2 linked regions of the Mus musculus genome follow. The main gene of each other region encodes a partner of the protein of the gene in region 2 in a complex. Links are inferred from orthologs where the notes say so. Each region holds a gene or a part of one and is shown on either strand. Other genes may lie near its edges.

Region 1 (3,819 bases), on a different chromosome or scaffold from region 2:
GGAAGCACAAGCAGAAACTGGGACAGGAGCCCCAGGAGACCAAATCTTCATGGTCCCTCTGGGAGGATGGGTGGGGAGAGCTGTGGCAGAGGCCTCAGGAGGGGCCCTGCTGCTCAGTGGTGACAGATAGGGGTGAGAAAGCAGACAGAGTCATTCCGTCAGCATTCTGGGTCTGTTTGGTACTTCTTCTCACGATAAGGTGGCGGTGTGATATGCACAATGGCTAAAAAGCAGGGAGAGCTGGAAAGAAACAAGGACAGAGACAGAGGCCAAGTCAACCAGACCAATTCCCAGAGGAAGCAAAGAAACCATTACAGAGACTACAAGGGGGAAGGGAAGGAGAGATGAATTAGCTTCCCCTGTAAACCTTAGAACCCAGCTGTTGCCAGGGCAACGGGGCAATACCTGTCTCTTCAGAGGAGATGAAGTTGCCAGGGTAACTACATCCTGTCTTTCTCAAGGACCATCCCAGAATGTGGCACCCACTAGCCGTTACCATAGCAACTGCCTCTTTGCCCCACTTAATCCCATCCCGTCTGTTAAAAGGGCCCTATAGTTGGAGGTGGGGGAGGTAGGAAGAGCGATGATCACTTGTGGACTAAGTTTGTTCGCATCCCCTTCTCCAACCCCCTCAGTACATCACCCTGGGGGAACAGGGTCCACTTGCTCCTGGGCCCACACAGTCCTGCAGTATTGTGTATATAAGGCCAGGGCAAAGAGGAGCAGGTTTTAAAGTGAAAGGCAGGCAGGTGTTGGGGAGGCAGTTACCGGGGCAACGGGAACAGGGCGTTTCGGAGGTGGTTGCCATGGGGACCTGGATGCTGACGAAGGCTCGCGAGGCTGTGAGCAGCCACAGTGCCCTGCTCAGAAGCCCCAAGCTCGTCAGTCAAGCCGGTTCTCCGTTTGCACTCAGGAGCACGGGCAGGCGAGTGGCCCCTAGTTCTGGGGGCAGCGCTTCAGCATCCCAGCCCTAGTTCCCAGCCTAAAGCCTCGCCTGCCTGCCCAGTGCCAGGATGGCTACCATCACCTGCACCCGATTCACAGAAGAGTACCAGCTCTTTGAGGAACTGGGAAAGTGAGTCACACCTCAGGGAGTCCTAGAGAGCATGGGGATCAGTCTCCTTGGGCAGGGGGAGGGGGCGTGTGCCTATGTGGCCAGAGCTGTCCCGTGCATGCAGAGGGAGGTGTGCAGCATGATTTGGAAGCACTGTGTATGCATAGGGTGTCCAGAGTTAGGCGCTGACACATTTATGAGTCCAGTCAGCCTGGTGTGTGTGTGTGTGTGTGTGTGTGTGATGGAAAGGAAACAGATTGGTGGTGTATGCACACACCTATGCATATAAATACACATGACCTGGGTTCACAAAGATATCTAGAAACTTGGGGTTTGAAAGGGATTTTCCCACTTGGCTGGATCTGAGCTGGAATCTATTTTTGTAGTTGTACTTAGAAACCTCCAATGACAAAGAAAGTTTGCCACCCCCTGACCTGGAGATCTTGTCTTTAGACACTGTGCAGAGTGGCTAGCTTTCTCCTAGCACATCCCCTCCGGCTTCCCCAGATACCTTCCGGGAGCAACAGCTTCAGTACAGAAGGAGTTAATATAAAGCAATCACAGTGTTGGGAGGAGGGGAAGGACAGTCAGCCAGCCGGGGGGTGCCACTGTGGCACTGACTATACAAAACAACTGTGGTCCTTTGGCAAAGTTGCCCATCGTGTTATATCTCAGGAGGCTGAGAGGAGAAAGGTTCCCTCCAGAAGAGCAGCAGGCTACAGATATAAGAGAAGGTTTCTAGATGTTCCCAGCTAGGTTATGGGGTCCTGGGTTGGATCAGGAGTTGGGGGAGCAGTTTGGCAGAGTGCCCCACGGATGCATACGTGCTCCTACCAGTCCTGTTTGGTTCCTGCTGTAGCGCAGTAACATGAGACAAGGGGCCCTGTGAGCAGATGTGTCAGTGTGAGCTCCTGCAGGTACACAGATATTGAGGAGAGACTATATATGAAATCTGTGTGTGTGGGGGGGAACAAATGGAGTTGTGTAAGAACTGACACTGGGCACACTGCAAACTGAAAGGGCAAACACTGGTGCAAGTAAAACAAGAAGAGATGTGTGTGTCATTTGCATGGCAAGCCCGCCCCCCTCCAAAAAATGTTCATGCGCCCTGCAAGGGTGCATGTGTGCAATTATGCAAGGGTTGTTCTTGGCTAGGTGATGTTGCAGCAAGGGTATGGACATGCATCTGTGTGCACATGTGTGGCAGGTCAGAGATGGATACTCTCAGTGAATGTGTGTGTGTGTGTGTGTGTGTGTGTGTGTGTGTGTGTGTGTGCGTGCGCGCGCGCGCATGTGTAAGGTCACAGATGTGAAATGTGAACAGAATGTTCTTGAGTGTGCATGTATCTTGGGGACTATGTAAAGGAAGCTGTGTGTGTGTGTGTGTGTGTGTGTGTGTGTGCGCGCGCGCGCATGTGTAAGGTCACAGATGTGAAATGTGAACAGAATGTTCTTGAGTGTGCATGTATCTTGGGGACTATGTAAAGGAAGCTGTGTGTGTGTGTGTGTGTGTGTGTGTGTGTGTGTGGCCTAGGCTCATGGGCTCATGTGGGTGTGTGGGTGTTGTAGGCATGTGTGAGCTTATGCTGGTGTCTGCATATGTGTGGGAGGTGGACCTATGGCTGTGTATAAGCACAGCCCCTGAACACACTCACACAGAGAGAGAGAGAGAGAGAGACAGAGACAGAGACAGAGAGACAGAGAGAGAGACAGATGGAGAGACAGAGAGGGATAGAGAGACAGAGACAGCTCCCTTGTGCAAATGTGTATTCATATTTGTCTACAGACTTTCTGCTGTTCTGCGTGTCTTTGCGTTGGAGGCAGGGGTAGGGGCAGGAATGTAGTTTTTAGGGTGGCTCAGGAGAACTGTCTTTTAAAGTTTATCTGGGACCCCTTTCCAGAGCATGTCTAGTGTTCCCTTGGAACCTAAGGATTTCTTGAATAGTCAGGAGCTGCCTTTCAGGGGCCACTGAGGCTGGTTCAGGCAAGACTGCGTCACAGAGCGCAGTGGAAGGAATTAAGATGGGACTTCAGGGATCACAGTGACAGTAAACTGCTCTTTTGCCCTGAGAAGAAATGGGGATCATTAGAACTAGGCTCTGTGGGCTGACTTTGCCTTCTCAGCCCCCCCCCCCCGCCTTCTTGGATACTCAGAGGTGTCAGAGAAGGGGCAGAGGAAAACTGAGGGTGGCAGGGACGCCTGGGTCTTGTTCAATCAATTACAGATCTCCTCCTTCCAGAACTATTGGTGCTTTTAACCTTTTTTTAGGTCACTTATTCCTCCAGGATTCAGATGAAAGTCTAAATAGATATTCCCTAGAAAAACGTATAAGCCTACAAAATGTTGCTTGCAGTGTCAGAGCTTGTGGGACCTCAGGAAACAGTGCACCAACCTGTGCTTGAAGATGCTTGGGTGAAGGAGAAGGGGCTGTGGTGGGCCGGCTTCTGTCTGGTGTGTCCGTGTGACACAGGCCAGGGTACCCTATGAAGGATGAGCCCTGTGGCTTTTGCTCTGCACCTTAGCCTTGGCCTGAGCATCTGGTGGGGTAGGGAGGGGCTGCCCTACATGACCCTTAGCTCTGTGACACTGGGCAGGCTGCCACTCTTTCTGACCTGCAAGCTGGAGATTTAGAAGACTGGGAGGAGTATGTAGATGGCATGTGAAGACACAGCCTCAAGCCTGACACGCAGTAGGCATTTGGCAGGACGTTGCTGCTGGGGTGGCTGTTGTCCTCAAGGATTGGGCCAGCCTTTAGGAGGAAACA
Region 2 (3,818 bases):
CTGGTCCGAGGCCTCTGGCATATATGTAGCAGAAGACTGCTTTGTCTGGCTTCAGGTGGAGAGGATGTGTCTAATCCTGCAGAGACTTGAGGCCTCAGAGAAGGGGAATTCCTGGGTAGAGAGTGGTGCACCTTCTCAGAGGCAGAGGGGAGGGCGAGTGGGAAGAAGAATTGTGGGAGGGGGCAACATCTGGAATGTAGATAAATAATTAATTAAAAAATAGCATAAAAAGCATCTTCAGATTTGGGTGCTATTAGACTTTGTTCTAATTCGGTCCTCTCCTTTACTCTTCTTCCCTAAGTGTTCCCTTTCACTTCTTGTCACGTGTGCTGTTGCTTTCTCTTTCCTCCTCCCTTAAGATCTCTTCCTTCTTCTCACGATTTCATAGTCTTCTATTGGCCTATAGAATTCTATTGGCCTATATCAAGGGATTGTCTATCATATTGACTGTACTATGCTTGGGGCTAGTAGCACATTTGAGCCAGTGGCCACTTCCAGCATGCCTGTTTTTCCAGAGTATGTGAATTCATTTGCTAATAATGCTGAGTTATACATACTTATAATTATATATATATATATATATATATTAGGGATGGTCAAACACAAATTTTCACTTTCAAGCTTTTAGTTCCCACTGTGACTTCCCATAGCCTCTTCCCACTGGCCTTGCATGGATGCCAGGCCCTGGAAGTTGGTTTTGATGCCCTCCAAAGTCCCAGGTGAGCCCACATGCTTACCTGCATATTCTGTGTTCTGTGCAACTCACATGCCAAACACAATTCCAACATAAAGCAGATTCCACTTTGTCAAAATTGCTGACAACGAACATTTGGGAACCCAGAAGGGGAAATTCTCAACACACCTGTTACCCCACAAAGAGTTATGGACGGCATCTTTAGCTGTTGCCTGCAAGGACCCCACTTTCATCCGGGTGTTAGAGGATGCCGAGGAAGCTTGGGAGGGCGAGTAGTCTGAGTAGGTGCCTGAGGAGACACTGTTATTCAGACAGTGAGTTTTGTCAACTTCAGACTCATCAGTTGATTCTGAAATTTAAAGGGGAAACATGTTACAATGCTACGAACACTGACGGATACAAAAGATGTATGAAAAGCAGATTCCATATGGATTAATGTCAGAAGCACACGTGTGCGAGTACTTATAGACTATGGCATGTCATAATGTATAAGTGGCGATTTATCATGCACATGCATCGGGCACAGTTCCACATCGGCTTCACGATGTTACCTTTTTTGTCCTTCCCTAGCAGAACAAGTTTGGGTGGGTACAGAGGGGTCTCAGCTAATGAAGGGTGAAGTTCCCCAATCCTCATTTCATTAGCTGGATGAACAAAAGAATCCTGAGAGATATAATAATACAGGACAAGGAAAGTAAACATTTAAATAACGGTTAACCAAGATGGCAATATCTTATTTGGCTCAGACTCAAAGATGCGGCCCTAGACTTTAATTCACCACGGGGCATTGCAAAATAACCTCTGTGTCTGTAATTGAGCACTAATTATTTTTCTAATTTATATGAGCCCATTTATTCATTAGATGTGTTTTTGGATGCAATTTGTATGCCTGGCACTGTGCAAAGAACTGTGGAGGTTTCCCAGAAAGATACAACATGGTCCTCTGGGAATTTCCAATCTAATTGAGATGGAACAGAACTCATTTCAACACGGCATTGAATTATGCTGCGCCCTCCACAGGCAGTGTGGCTCAGTCATAGATATTGGATGTGAGAATTCTAGAGGCCGAACTCCCATGAGTTCCAAGTAGGAAGGGCATTGCTGACCAGTAGGATCTTTGTTCTACCCCATTACAATATCCCAGTAGTCCTGCACCCCTGCACTCCTGCAGCCCTTGCCTCTGCTTTTCAATCCCTGCTGTGTCTCAGGTGGCTGTCGGCAGTCACTGTGTGTCTGCTGTTTCTCCTTCCTGGGTTGTTAGCATTCTCATGGCCATTTTCAACCTATTTAATCTTCATTGCATATTGAATGTTGAATGTGATAAATGGCAGTGGTGCAAGAATATGACTTTATAAAAAATGAACAATATAAAAGTTCCAGAAGCTTTGAAATCCCCCCTCTTGATTTATTTCATTTTATGTGTTAGTGGTTTGCCTGCATGTACATAAATGCACTATTTGTATACAATTCCTGTGGAGGCCAGAAGAGGGCATTAGATTTCCTGGAACTGGAGTTTAACACTGTGGGTGCTGATGAACTTGGGTCCTCTGCAAAAGCAACCAGAGTTCTCAGCCATTGAGTTGTCTCATCAGTGTATAAATTCCATGAGTTTTAATTTCTAGAATTCAGATCATTTCCAATTAAACAGGTATCAGGAGAACATTAAGAAAGCTAAAATTTAAATCTCCACTTTCTATACACACAGCTGTGTCTTTTAACTTCTTTATGATAATTTGAATTCAAAGAACATTCAAGGTTTTGTTTGTGTGTTTGTTTGTTTGTGTGTGTTTGTTAATTTGGAGCACTGAACCAACACAAGTAGAGATGTTTTCTTGAATTGGAGAAGGATACACTTAGATAAAGTAGGAATTTGGAAAGATTTGTCTAGTGTTTGGTTGGTGTAATAAATGGGCAGAAACACTCAAAGGAACAGGCTATAGGTTTCTGGTCTTTCAGAAAAAACACATCCATTTCTTTAATTCTTGACTGAAACTTTTTTGTTTGAACTTGTTTTTGACAGTGTATGAGAATATTTTCTTATGAAAAACCAACATCTGACTGATACTAATCAATTTTAAAAGAATTATATTTCAAGATGAAGATGATCCTATCAATTAGTTCAACTCTTTCCCTGGACCTGGGGCACAGAAAAACACTTAAGAAAGACTCAGCGGTTCTCAATGTGGTCCTCTTGGGTTCCCACACAGCTAGTCCCCACTCCAGAGTGAGGCTCCCAATGAGACCCCCTGTATCAGGGACCTAAAGCAAATGATCTGATTCAAAAGAGATCCTAGGAGAAAAAGGGTGATGAAAAGCCTAGGGCTGAAGAGAGAAATATGAATTTCCATGGAATTTCTAAGTTCAGCACAACAAATGCACAGTAAAATTTTAAGTTGGTATAATAAAGAGTAAAAGCATGTGTATGACTTGGGAGGAATTAATAAGAAGATGCAAGCTGGAGAAGCACTTCTGTGCAAGGACCAAGACATGCTGGCCTGTCAATCACAGGGTACTGTTTCTCTGTCCTGTTTCTGCCTCATCACTTATTAATCAGGCACCTTGGGCAAGGTGAAGCATTCTCAGACCTGCATCCAACACATTCATCAGATGAAGGTGGTAGGTAATAGAATTAGTGCTAATGTCTGTCTAGTCTATGAAGGTAAAGGTAACTTATTTGTATGAAACAACTTGGGAAGGAGGCATTTTTAGATGACACCTAATACAAATCAAAGAGTTTCTTCTTTTAATAAATAGCAAAATGAAAATAAAATGAGATACAAGAACAAAATCAAGCAGTCATATCAACACAGACTGTTGACATTACTTCTTTTACCTCATGTTCTACAATTCAGTATTTAACATATTTTGCTCCTATGCGTCAGTTTTTAAAATTTGTGACCAGGGCTCTGCATGGCCCAACTAGGATATGAGTTTCTGACCCTGTTCAAAGCTGAGGAAAGCAAAGTTTCGAGGCTGCCTCCATGGTTGTAAAGCAATCAACTTTTCTAAATGGTTCATCAGAAGAAGTTCATCTAAATCTGTCTCTGGTTGAGAATGAAGTAGAGGGAGGAAAGGTGAAATGTCCTTTCTCTCTTAGTTCCACCACCCTTCCTTTATTTAAATA

What was found.
Region 1: the proteins of Lrrc7 (region 2) and Camk2a are in contact, whole or in part, in a crystal structure (PDB 6X5G), measured with the Homo sapiens proteins. The link is inferred for Mus musculus from reciprocal best matches to the Homo sapiens genes LRRC7 and CAMK2A. Residues at the interface, in NP_001357714.1 of Homo sapiens: His843, Gly844, Arg845, Arg846, Pro847, Leu848, Ile849, Arg850, Gln851, Asp852, Arg853, Ile854, Val855; in NP_001350919.1 of Homo sapiens: Glu96, Phe98, Glu99, Ile101, Val102, Lys137, Glu139, Leu159, Phe173, Ala174, Gly175, Thr176, Pro177, Gly178, Tyr179, Leu180, Ile205, Gly209, Tyr210, Pro211, Pro212, Phe213, Trp214, Tyr222, Gln224, Pro233, Glu236.

The regions. Positions count from the first base shown.
Region 1 is NC_000084.6:60,924,766-60,928,584, forward strand, and holds the start of Camk2a (calcium/calmodulin-dependent protein kinase type II subunit alpha), read left to right. Parts: upstream 1-866; 5' UTR 867-1,013; coding exon 1,014-1,075; intron 1,076-3,819. UniProt on the Homo sapiens protein: Calcium/calmodulin-dependent protein kinase that functions autonomously after Ca(2+)/calmodulin-binding and autophosphorylation, and is involved in various processes, such as synaptic plasticity, neurotransmitter release and long-term potentiation.
Region 2 is NC_000069.6:158,163,030-158,166,847, forward strand, and holds part of Lrrc7 (leucine-rich repeat-containing protein 7), read right to left. Parts: intron 1,358-3,818; coding exon 1,246-1,357; intron 1,044-1,245; coding exon 863-1,043; intron 1-862.